Linked DNA regions of Mus musculus: regions 1 and 3 are each reported to be linked to region 2. Evidence: microRNA targets listed by miRTarBase, many of them from high-throughput screens and not tested one by one. Region 2 holds a microRNA gene; each other region holds the end of a gene's coding sequence.

Evidence for each region. The annotated mature microRNA mmu-miR-1955-3p reads GAGCAUUGCAUGCUGGGACAU and lies in region 2 at 2,114-2,134, opposite strand. An mRNA with a match to its seed (bases 2 to 7 or 8) in the 3' UTR can be bound and repressed. Matches are read on the target gene's strand: a 7mer-m8 pairs with bases 2 to 8, a 7mer-A1 pairs with bases 2 to 7 and ends in A, and an 8mer does both.
Region 1: miRTarBase lists Lyrm7 as a target of mmu-miR-1955-3p. Seed matches in the 3' UTR shown: 7mer-A1 at 3,737-3,743 and 7mer-A1 at 3,277-3,283.
Region 3: miRTarBase lists Prlr as a target of mmu-miR-1955-3p. The part of its 3' UTR that is shown has no 7-base or 8-base seed match.

Annotation. Positions count from the first base shown.
Region 1 is chr11:54,837,093-54,841,712 of GRCm38, forward strand. It overlaps Lyrm7 (LYR motif containing 7), which reads right to left. Exons shown (of 5, transcript NM_029327.5): 5 at 1,258-4,110. The coding sequence ends at 4,040. Among named protein-coding and RNA genes, the nearest start is that of Lyrm7os, 19 kb to the left of the region's middle.
Region 2 is chr2:92,189,549-92,194,168 of GRCm38, reverse strand. It overlaps Mir1955 (microRNA 1955), which reads right to left and starts at 2,192; the gene lies at 2,095-2,192. All of the region lies in intron 1 of Phf21a (PHD finger protein 21A), which reads right to left.
Region 3 is chr15:10,328,583-10,332,582 of GRCm38, forward strand. It overlaps Prlr (prolactin receptor), which reads left to right. Exons shown (of 10, transcript NM_011169.5): 10 at 1-4,000. The coding sequence ends at 685. Among named protein-coding and RNA genes, the nearest start is that of Gm41269, 27 kb to the right of the region's middle.

The DNA.
Region 1 (4,620 bases), not on the chromosome of region 2:
TAGACCAGGTTACCTCTGCCTCCTGGGTGCTGATATTAAAACATGTACATGATCATGGCCAGCCCCAGTTAATATTTCTTTAAGCCGCACTTATATTTCTTTAAGATAGTAAGACTGGGGGCTGGAGAGTTGAGAACACTGTTCCCTCTTCCAGAGGACCTGACTTCAGCTCCAAGCACCCAATTCAGTCTGGTTATGATCATACATAACTCTTAGTTCCAGGAGATCTGACACCTCTAGCCTCCACAGGCTTCTGCACTCACATGCACAAATCCACATGCACGCACGCACGCACACGTGCGTGCGCACACACAATGAATTTTAAAAAGACTATAAAAGATAGAACCACATCACATTGTGTATTACATCTTATAAACAATTTAAAAATATTTTTATTTTTTATTTTATGTGCATTGGTGTTTTGCCTCCATGTATGTCTGTGTGAGGGTGTCGGGTCACTGGGAACTAGAGTTACAGTTGCCAGCTGCCATGTAGGTGCAGGAATTGAACCTGGGTCCTCTGGGAGAACAGCCAGTGCTCTTAATCGCTGAGCCATCTCTCCAGCCCCCTAGACAATACTCTAATAAACTCATCATTTGTTGAACAGGGTCTCACACATCAGTCTAGCCTCAATCCTGCTATGAAGCTCAGATTGACCTTGAACTTCTGATCTTCAAGCTGCTACCCCCACCCCCAAGTTCGGGGAATTACTTGGGTTAGGCAGTGCTGGGGATAGAACTCAGGGCTTCATACACACTAAGCAAGCATTCAGCTAACAGAACCACACCCACATCCCTAGCGTTCTTTTTTACATTAACAGAGCAGCATGGGAATCTCCAGGTATCCTTGGGATACCTGACAAAGACAGGCACAGTCTGTGTGGACATTGCCGCCCATACTCCACAGACTCCGCACAGAATTATCAATCCTCACTCATTCTGTTTCATCTGGTTTTCTTGGAGATTGAACCTCAGGCCTTGTACATACTGGACAAATTTCATACCACTGAGCTATAGCCTCAGGCCTTCACAATTCCAACTCAAGGTACACATATAATGCAGGTCAATGAGACCGTTTAGTAGAAAAAAAGGTGCTTGCTGCCACAACCCAAGTTCAAGTCCCAGAGAATCAACTCCCCAAATTATTCTCTGACTTCCATGTATGTCATAGCATGTAAATGTATGCAATCACAGGTGCACACCCAAGTGCACGAACACACACACACACACACACAGGTTACAATTTGACTCTCAAATGTCTCCCACAGTTTTGTTTTTTGTTTTTATTTCCCCCAGCTCATAGGGCTATTTTGAAGCATGTGGAACCTTTAGGAGGTGGAACCTGATTGGCACAAGTAGGTCACTAGAAACAGTCATTTTAACATTATGCCTGCCCACCCACTCCCTGCCAGGCTTAGTTAGCCAAGTGTTTCCTGTCTGCCACCATGTTTTGTTAAGGTGTCGCCTTAAGGTATTGGAATGAAATCATGCTGTAACACAAACCCGTAAGTTATTCTTCACCTGTTTTATCACAGCAGTGCAAAAACAACCATCACAATAAAACTTGAATCTGTCCTGAGCCAATAGGATGATGGATAATTTAGGGATTTGATAAAATAAGGAAAAAAATATATAATGTGTTCCAGACTAGCCAAGGCTACACAGTGAGACCCTGTCTCAGAAAAGTCATATCCTTGCCAATACTTGATATTGTCAACCATCCAGATTTCGGCCATTCTAATAGACACATAACTATGTCACTATGATTTTAATTCCTAGTGCCTGTTAATGTACTAGCAACTTCTCACACTATATCTGTCATTTGCATATCTTTAAAAATTTGTAGCCAGGTATGGTGGTGCACGCCTTTAATCCCAGCACTCAGGAGACAGAGGCAGGCGGATTTCTGAGTTCGAGACCAGCCTGGTGTACAAAGTGAGTTCCAGGACAGCCAGGGCTGCACAGACAAACCCTGTCTCAAAAAAAAAAAAAAAAAAAAAATGTGGCTGGAGAGATGGCTCAGCAGTTGAGAGCACTTAGTGCTTTTGCCAAGACCCTTAGTGACATTTCTGGCACCCACATGTTGGCTGACAACCATCTGTAATACAACAGAGATGCAAGTGGCACACAAAAACGCATGAAGGCAAAACACTCATACAAATAAATATAAGATCTAAAAGAGAAAACTTAAGCTAGGTCGTGGTGGCGCATGCCTTTAATCCCAGCACTTGGGAGGCAGAGGCAGGCAGAGATCTCTGTAAGTTTGAGGTCACCCTGGTCTGCAGAGTGAGGTTCAGGACAGAAAAAGCTACACAAAGAAACCCTGTTTCAAAAGACCAAAAAATAAAAAATTCAAAACTGTGATTGTGTGTGCATGAAGCACGAACTTGCAGAATTTGGTTCTCTCGTTCCATCCTGTGGGTTCCAAAACTGGCAACCCTGACAGCTTCCATGTATCTTTTTTGATGAAGCATCTGTTCAAATATTACTTTTAAAGTTGGGTTGAGGGACTGGAGAGATGGCTGAGTGGTTAAGAAACACTGTTCCAGATGACCGAGGTTCAATTTCCAGCACCCATACGGCGGCTCACAACCCTTTGTAAGAGAGGAGTTCTAAGGTATCCGACAACCTTTATGGGGTCTCTGTGGGCACCAGGCATGCAAGTAGTAAGCTGACACACAAAGCAGCAAGGCACCAATAAACAGGAAATCACTTCTCTGTAGTTGAGTTGCTTGTTTTACGATTCCTTTATTATGCATCTGTGTGTCACTGTTGGTTTGAGTCTATACATGTAAATGCAGTGCCCTTAGAGGCCAGTAGAGTGCACAGGATCCCCTGGAAATGGAGTGACAGCTTCGAGTTACCTGAAAGGGTGCTGGGAACTGAACTCAGGTCCTAGCAGCAGGAGTTCTTAACCTCTGAGCCATCTCAGCCCCTGCTTGCTTTCGAATATTTGAAGTCCTTTATATAGTCTGATAACTCTTTTTTCATACCTGGTAACATATGTTTTATAGAATCATCATATATATGACAGATATTTCATCTATAATTGTTCACTAATCGTTATGTAAATGTTTTTAACTTTGATAAAATCCAATTGTTATTATTACTATTATTTATTTGGAACACTAGAGATCAAATTATGTAAAGCACTGGGGAGGCAGAGGCAAGTGGATCTTAGAGTTCAAGGCTAGGACTGCACAGGGAGACCCTATCTCAAAAGAGAGGTGGGGAGGGGGGAGGGAGGGAGAAAGGGAGAGAGAGAGAGAGAGATCTATAGCATTTCACAGCAGTCTACAAAGACCACAAGCCATCTGACAGAGGGCCACTACAGTGACCCAGAGTGACTTTGATATTTCATCTATCTAATGTCTTTACATGGGGCTAGAGAGATGGCTCAGTGCTTTGGAGCACTGGCTGTTCTTCTAGGAAACTCATGACCATCTATAACTCCAGTCCCAGGGGATCCAATTCCCTCTCCTGACCTCTGCAGGCACGGCACTGCATACACACCTGGTGCATAGACATTTAAGCAGGCAAAACACCCATACATACAAAACAAAAAGGGGAACGTTGTCTTTGTAAGAATGCAGAGAAATACACTACATAATTATTTGTTAGCCGCAAAAATAACCACGGGACTTTGGGAAACAATGGCTGCTTTTAGACGAGAGCTGGAAGAAAAATGTTAATTTTTTACCAACTTAATATTTTGGGGATTAAACATCAATTTAATGTAGCATTTTATATTTAGCTATGTATGTCCCATGAGATGAAAAGTCACCAATTTGGTAAGGTGCTTCATTGGCAAACAGCTTTGGAAGACCAAAAGACCTACCAAAGGGAAAGAGAGGAGCGTCCTGCCTCCCCAGGCCTTCAGTTGCCCATGTCAGTGAAAGGCATGTCTATCTCCTCTGTAGCCCTCAGCCTGTCGCTCATTTGCAACGTGCGCTTCAGAGAGAAACATGTGCATGTCCAGGACCGTTGCCAGGTATGTATTTAAAGTGGGAAGGAGCAGAGATGGGTTTATCCTGGAAGCTTTACTGCTTCTGGGTTGGCGCATCACAGTACGGCACATTTTCTGTGAGAAGATCTTTCCTGGGGACCAGTTCTAAAAGGAACAGAGAAATGAGCGGTTAAGACGGTTAGAGCTCCAGTCACTACTTATCTTAAAGTAGACCTGGGGCCGGCACATCCGTCTCCCCAGCAGTTCTAACCGTGAGTTGTGTAATTTGGGAAGCATGCACTATTCTACAGACATTTTATTTCAGCTGATGTCTGAGGTGACTATGTGAGTCTAAATGGAAACATTTAATACGATCTTCATTCGTGTTACAAAAAACATATACAACCAAATCCTTTATCATTTCATTAAACACAACTAATAAATGACTGAATGGAATTAAGCTAAAAACACACTAATCTGTCAATGGCTCTTTAAAAATGTCACCTATGAATGATTTTTGAGACAGGATCTCATGTAGCTCTGGCTAGCCTTGAACTCCCCATGTAGCTGAGGCTAACCTTGAACTCTTGATTCTCTAGCCTCCACTTCCCAACAATGGGGTTACAGGTGTACCACACCATGCCTGGATACTTGAAAAATTTTATAGAAAGCAAG
Region 2 (4,620 bases):
AGAAAAGAAATAAAACAATTTACAATGTAGAAGCATATCCAACCAGAGTCCACATATTTTTGATACTTCAAAAAGGTGTCAGCCTCCCATGGAAGGGCAAAGTAGAGTCAAATGGTACTTTACTGCTAAGAAATAGTTTCAGTAAATAGTTTAGCAGTAATCTATGACAATGTTCCAAGAAGTCCATGCTAACGAGTGGATATCAGTTAAGCAGGTAAAAAGACAATTATCTGACTTTTTCATATTCCAACTAAGGCATGGAACATATACTGGAATTTACGTTTATATTTTTCAATATTCCTAGGTACCCTTTTCCCACCTCAAACATCCTTCTTACCTCACACAGCTAAAGTAAAAATATCCCAAAAATTCTAGAGCCTAATAAAAGTAGTACCTTAAAACAAAAGAAAAAATGTAAATACTTAAAATGTAAATTCTTTTGAACCTCCATTCTAAATACACCCTAGATGTGAATGACATTGGGGGGGAGGGTGGCCCTCTCCATCAGTCCTGCAACGCTGATGTGATCAGAGTGGGGGTAGCCCTCTCTATCAGTCCCACAAGCTGATGTGGTCAGAGGGTTTTCCCAAGGTTGCACTCACCATGATACCAAGAGCATTTTTCCAGAGTCTTACTTTTACTAATCAGCTATTTGGAAATTCTAACAGTGCAAACATTACTAACACCATCTTTTAAACTTTCTGAAGTCAATGAAACACTGCAATACAGTACAACAATACTGAACAGGTACAACCAAATCCTGCCAACATCCTGCTACTAGCGTATTTGTCCAATTTGGGGCATATATCATTTAGATAGAAACTGAGGCACACAGACACTTTAATGAACAGCAAATCAGTCTAAGCCACATCATTACCAGAAACCAAAATCTCAAAACAAAGTCTTCCAAAGTCACCTGGGCTTCGAACTAAACTAAACATAAAAAGAAGTTAAAGGTGGAGGAACTGTTTGAAATAAAAATGGTTGTTGGTAATCCTAAGTATTTACTGAGCCTTAACTACACGTCAACCACTAAGCTAAGTGAGCACTCTCAGGACTTCTACACCCAATCCTACAACAACCCTACAGGAGTTCATAAAGAACAGTCAAAACAAAGTTTTGAAATTTTACAAGCGAAAATCTAAGCTATTTGAGAATCTGCCCTTCCTTCTCTCTCTTCAGGCTGCATCTCTTAGCATCAATCTACATGGAGCAGGGGGAGAAATAAAGCAAGCCTACAAAACCGGCACTTTTAGAGCAGGGGCAGCAGGACCACAAGATACAGAAACCGGCTGAGCTAGAGTAAGAGCCTCTAAAAAACACAAAAGAGGGGTGGGAGCTGAGAGAACTGAAGCAGTAAGTCTGTGAGTTCAAGTCCAGCATAAACTATACAGGATTTTGTCTCAAAAATAAATGACATGAAATAATTCAATTATATTGAATCATTTATTTTCTCCCAGTTAGACAATACTGACCAATTAATCATTCTAGAAGCATCACAAAACTCTGAATTTAAAGACGGGAATAAAAAGCCCGCAGGCCAAGCCAGGTGGTGGTGGTGCACGCCTTTAATCCCAGCACTTGGGGAGCAAAGGCAGGTGTATCAACGCCAGTCTGGTCTACAGAGCAAGATCCAGGATTGCCAAAACTACACAGAAAAGACCTGTCTTAAAACAAAATAAAATAATAATAATAATAATAATAATAATAATAATAATAATAATTCCAGCTGAATAACTCTCCCCACTGGGGGCAAAAGGAATAGCATGTGTCAGGCTTGACAAAAAGGCATCTACTGCCCTCACTAGAAAACAATGATACCAGACTTCTGCAATAACCTATTCGACCACATGCACAGAAACTACTTACAGTTTCCAAGTCAAGTTTTGAATATGTTATTTTGCATTTAGATCTTATAAAAGCTAGTAAAAGCACTGTGATAAAACAGAACACCAAGCTGTTTATAAAGTCTCACTTTATAATTTCAGAAACAGAGTAAGTATGATTTCATTAATGTAACTTTAAAAAAATGAAGTTCTTAGAGTTTTAGGGATCTATTTATAAAATGGAGTAGACAAGAAAAAGAGTTCTCCGTGCTATTTAAACCAACTACATGTCCCAGCATGCAATGCTCTTATCTGAAGTTAAGAAAAAGCTGCAGTGCATCCTGGGACTTGTAGTAAGTAAACCAGCTTTTCACAGCAAGTTTCAGAAAGTCTGAACTGTGGAGCGCATCTGATTAGGTCTTATTTTCAGAGTCTAATCAAATTCAAATCAAATTTGTTTGCTCTCTGCTCTGGTATTGTTTCTCTAGTACATATTAGAAAAAGTAGCAATTCGCATTAATAACTTCCACTAGAAAAACCTCAAGTAAGAACAAAATGCTTTAAAAATAACTGACATGACAGAAACATAATTTTATACTTTTAAAAATAAGTTTTGTTGGATCAGTTGCAACATTTTTACCATCTCCCCACTAAGATGCTTTTACTATACTGTGTCCCCTTTAACAATTATTCTAAATATATTTTAAAATAATTTTACTTAAAAAATTCTATAACCAAGCATTTGCTATACTCTAGGATTGTTCACTAGGAAATATATCCTTACAGTAATATGCACGCGCACACACTCACAACAAAACACCTAAGCGCTTCTCTTGTCAAATCCTCCCTTTCCAGTTATGCCCATCACTCACCACTCCTAATATCTATATACACACACTACAGAACTCCGAGAAAAAAAGATTCCAATTTCCAAAATTACAAAAGTTTTTGTAAGCTACTAAGAGCACTTCCAATCTGAACTGTAGTTTACATACATATAGTTCCTTCTGACAGCCCTCTTTTCTCTAAGACTCTGGAAGGAGGCTGCAGTCTGCATCAGGAGGCCTACCGCAGGTGGTGGGTTATTTTCAGGCAACAGCACCTTCACAAACATGCTGTAGAATACAGGCCAAGAAACTCCTAACGAGGAGAGATAAGCTGGCACGGAGATTAACACAATCCAGCTAGAAGTCACCTGCAGCACGTGCTAGCACATTTCACCACAGAAGCGACAGGCTCCTCAAGTATCCAAAGCTTCATCAATACAACAGGATGTCCATAAGGCCAAAGATAGCAGTTGCCATGGTTACTATCACCCACTTTTATCATGAAATTATTGTCATTACCCTGAAGTTTAGGGTACTTACTTAAATGTTAAAAAGAAGAGTTCGGTGTTCTGTGGAGGGAGAAAAATCAAGTGCTGTCTGATCTGTAAGCATGCCACTCTAGAAATGCACATGGTTAACAACACTTGGATCTGCAGCGGGAAAAAAAAAATCAATTCCTTTCTGCTGCTCCTGTTCCTCAAGCACTGACAGTTTGTATTTTCAATGCAGCCAAAACAATAAAACAAAACCCATCTTTTTTGGCCTCTGTGACTGAGTTATGTTTTTCCCTTAGGCCCAAAAAGTCAAAATAAAACTACTAGGCCACACCCCTTCCAATCTCCATATAACTGGTTTAATCTTTTCCTCATTAAAAAGCAGAAAAGACTGCCTTAGTACATCCCAAAATATGGGAAAAAATAATTTCCTGAGACTGTATATGAACTATTATTATTAATTGAGTAAAAGAAAGGGGAATAGAGAGAGGAGAGGGACTTGAGAGCTGGGAGAGTCCAGGATGGATTCTAACTGCCACAGAGTCTACCTACGAATGGACATTACTCAGCAAAGAATCTGGGGTGAGTGAACCTCACAGTCTACATGGGAAGATTTGCCACCATTCTATAGTCAGGTGGCCCATGACACACAAAGTTGCTCTTCAAAGTCTATCCCGAGGTGAGCATGGTAATTCATGCCTGCAAACCCAGCACTTAGGAATCCGAAGCAGGAAGATTACCACAAATTGACCTCGCCTCAAAAAGTAAAAAAAAAATAAATAAAAATAAAAAAGACAACCATTCCAACACTGTTTCAAATGATAACTATGCAAAGATTTAATACACAGATAAGAATAATATACAAGTCTATAAAGAGTATAGCTATATATACATGGGAGCAAACAAAGGAAAAATATGCTCTTTAGGAATAAGTTATCTGGGGGGGCGGGGGGCGTGGAGGGGGAGGATGGCCCAGTGGTAAGAGCACTGCTGTACTTACTGAGTATCTAGGTTCATATCTTAGTACCCACATGGCAGCTCACATACATGCTGATAACTCTAGCACCAAAGGACCTGACACCTGTTAGGGCCTCCTCAGCACTAGGCATGCACATGGTACACAGACATACATGTAGCCGCTCACACATACACATAAAATAATAACAATTATTCTTAAAAAGAAATAATTGGGTTTGGGGACTTAGCTCAGTAGTAGAGTACTTACTTGCCTAGTAAAAGCAAAGCCCTGAATTCAGCCTGAAGCTCATGGGGGTGGGGGTAGACTCAAAAATCAAAGAAAAAGAGAGAGAACAGTCTATAGTAAGTCTAATGTCATATTAACACACCACCACTTAAAAATAAATTGCAAAGCACCAAAAATACACACCTGGTAAGGTTAATGTGATCAAAACATATTGAATGCTTCTAAAGACAGCCTAGGCCCACATGTAAATCCACAGGCAACAGCGCCAG
Region 3 (4,000 bases), not on the chromosome of region 2:
TGAGGCAAATATTCCTCCCACCCCAAATCCCCAAAATAACACCCCCAATTGTCATACAGATACATCCAAATCTACAACATGGCCTTTACCACCTGGCCAACACACGCGCAGATCTCCTTACCACAGCATTGCCGATGTGTGCAAGCTAGCTGGAAGTCCTGGAGATACACTGGACTCTTTCTTGGACAAAGCAGAGGAAAATGTTCTAAAGTTGTCTGAAGATGCTGGAGAGGAAGAAGTGGCTGTGCAAGAAGGGGCCAAAAGCTTCCCTTCTGACAAACAAAACACATCTTGGCCACCACTCCAGGAGAAAGGCCCCATTGTCTATGCTAAACCCCCAGATTACGTGGAGATTCACAAAGTCAACAAAGACGGAGTGCTATCATTACTCCCCAAGCAGAGAGAAAACCACCAGACAGAAAACCCTGGGGTTCCTGAAACCAGTAAGGAGTATGCCAAGGTATCTGGGGTCACGGATAACAACATCCTGGTGTTAGTGCCAGACTCACGAGCCCAGAACACAGCTTTGCTTGAGGAATCAGCCAAGAAGGTTCCACCATCGCTTGAACAGAACCAATCTGAGAAAGATCTGGCCAGCTTTACTGCAACCTCAAGCAACTGCAGACTCCAACTGGGCAGGCTGGATTACCTGGATCCTACGTGCTTCATGCACTCCTTTCACTGAGAGCTAGACTTATGGACAGATTGACTAAAATGTGATTTCTCTTCAGGTTAACACTACAGAGTCATGAAGTAATGTGGTCTGCTAACAGATGTTACAGGATGTGGGTATAAAAAAAAAAAACAAAAAGAAAAAAAAAACAAAAAGAAAAACACTACTTCACTCCTCCACACGCTTGTGTTCAGCATTTGCCTCTTTCCAACAGCTGATTTCCAGAACAAATCAACTTGTTTCCTGTGATTTGTACATTTGCTCTTTGCTACCATATATATGTGTGTGCATATATATGCATATATACATGCGCATATATATATATTCAATGAAATAAAAGCACATCGCTTACTATTCTTGAGGGATGGTGCCAACAGGTACAGCCTCTGCAATAGATTTGTCATCAGACAGAAGGCATGAAATAGTCAAAATGGCCTAGCACAAGAAGATGACGGACAGGCTGGAAATGCCATGAAAATGGCTCTTAAGAACTGATGGCTAAGCCTTTACACTCCTCTTTCATTTTCATGATGATGGTCCCAATATTGCACATTTTGGAAAGAATACATTCCAGGACACCAGCCAAATTGTTTACATCCGTCCCTGTACCTTAATGACCCATTGCCTGTATGCAAATGGTATCATGCCCCCAGTGTTTTCTTAAGGTGATTTGAATATGTTAAGCCTGGGTTATTCTGCTGAAACTTTATTTTATTCTAAGGCTTCTTAAGTGTGTAGTTTGAGGAAGTAAAATTTTCATACAAAATAAGGCCAATGAATTCCACGCAGTGAACCTTTTCAAACGTGTTCCTTGCTTCATTTGAGCAAGAGATGGTTTGTTATAAACCCTAGTGTTTTCTTAGTAGAAAAAAGCGATTCCCCCAAGACTAACGATCTAAAAGGTAATCATTGCAGGATGCTAATAGAAGTGTTGCCTTACTGTACATACGATTCTACTTTAATACAAACCCGTAAGTTTAGCAATGTATTTTTGAAGACTATTTTTCTATCGCTTAAGTAAAGACTATTTTCTAACTTCCCAGTACTGCTGTTTACGTAGTCAAGTGAGTAGAGTGATTTCTGCTGCAACGTTACAGTGAGTATTCAAAGTTTATCAGTATATGCAGTCCCTGTTAGACTGAAGTGCCAGGCAACCCATTGCCCACTGAGGAATGCAAAGTAGATGAAAACCTCAATTGAGTACAATAGAGTAAGGTTTATCTGATTATTTTTATCCCTAGGATACGTTAAACAGCAACCATCACTGACTTTGGGTTTTAGGGCTTTCTATAGACCCATAACACATTTCTCCCATGAGTTTAGGGCATCTGCCCACCTATGGAAGAGTCTCCCAAACCACCATGAACAAGGGCAGTGATTTCTATGGAGGGTTTCCAAGACAGAGATCTGACTTTGTTTTGTTTCCTTTTATCTGAGCAATCCTGAACACAAAAGGATTTTAAGTATAACGAACGTCAGCATCTCCTTGGAATTCATGCATTTGCAAGATCTTGGCACAGGCTGTGCTCACGTCACAGATGTCCAGATAAAAGTTTTAGGAAAGCAAGCATCTGCCCAGTGATAACAGTTTTAAAGGTCAGGGGATGGTAGAATCTGCAAGCCAACTCCAAGGGCAGGCTTCCTGGGAAAGTTCAAAGCAAAGCCTTGGGTCTCCATTGGACCATAGCATCTATGACTCACTCTCCCTCTGCTTTGCAAATCAGTTCTCTCTTTCACCAACTGGATATAGAGACTCTGAAATCACCTCTTGTGAGTTCAGCATTCCACCCAACATGCACATGCCCTCAGAGATTCTCCGACGAAGGAAAAGAAACAAAGGAAACGCTTCCAGAACTACAAATGCAAGCAGCCAAAGCTTATATTCCTAATATATAAGACATCTTGTGAACAACAGAAGTATTTGGGAAAGTTGTCCAAGCTCATGCAATACCCTGAATCCTCCATACAGAATGTCTGAGAAACAACTGCATCTTCAAAGACACAGAGAATTGGAGTCTGAATCGTACTGCATTCACTAAGCTCCCAGGCATGCGCAAGCTGAAGAAGAAGCAGTTTTCTCTATGACCATTTTCATAAAAAGTTATTTTTCTCTCCCTCTCTTGGAAAGTATGGAGAAAAGTTTATTATCTTGAAATGAGCAACAATGTATGTAAATAGAAAACAAGATCAAAACTCTTAGTGATTTAAAGTTCACGTAGCAATGTTGCTTATATAAAGTCACACAAGACCATGACATGCAAAATACACACAACCTCCAAGAGGGTCAGTGAATCTAATTCACCTGGAAAGCTACCAACAAAAAAATAAATAAATAAACACCAAAGCCAATGCAAGCTAAACCTTCTTTGCCAAGACATTCTATCCTTCTCCAGGAGACAAATAAATGCATTTATTTACAAATCACCACTATAAAATTGATGCTGCATATATGGCTCATAGTATGAAATTTCTAAAAATTGGCTTTAGATATGTAATTTTGAAAATGTGGAAAATATGGCTATCTAAAGTCAAGTTACATTCCACAAAAATAAGTTAGCATTCATGAGATAAAAACAAATCTATACAGTTCTATACATTTATTAAATTCTTGTGGTCAAATATTTTCTATTGAAAGACAGCTGCTTGAATAAAAGAAGGCACACTAGGAGTTGAGACACCTGGGTTCTAGTTCTGTTTTGCCTTGGAAAGAAGAATTACCTATTCTAGTTTTCTTTGTATTGGACCCAATAATCTCTACAGCCTTTTGGAATTCAGTCTTCTTGATTCTGTGGCTTGATGAATAATCAAAACCAATCCCTTGCATCTCAGTGAGGTTTTCAGGCAATTATAAAAATGCAGAGCCACCCACATTCCTGTGCTCATCCTGTTTCACTCTTTAAAGTCTCAGCACCCATTTGTCTCTACATACTGAACATGTATTTCATATTATATGGACACCATGTAAGTCAGACTCTAGGATCATATGGTGATATGGGTGCTGAGGTAAGATATAGCGCTAAGAAAGACACAGGAGATGAGACACAAGTCTTTAGCCATGCTCATTCCTACATGGAGCCAACAGCCTCAAACTTCTGTTCTTGTATTTGGTTGTTGCCTGTTTTCTCATCATCCTGTTTAATGAATAACCATTGCCCATATAGATTAAAGAATCTTTTGCGCTGAATCATTTCAAAATGTATAGTTTTCTAAGCAACTCTCTGAAAAATTTCAAGTTATGAAGTACATGGAAACTAAATATATTCATTTGGATGGCTGATGGAACTTTAGGACACAAATGGCAGAATGTTCTCTGATAAGTTTTAACAA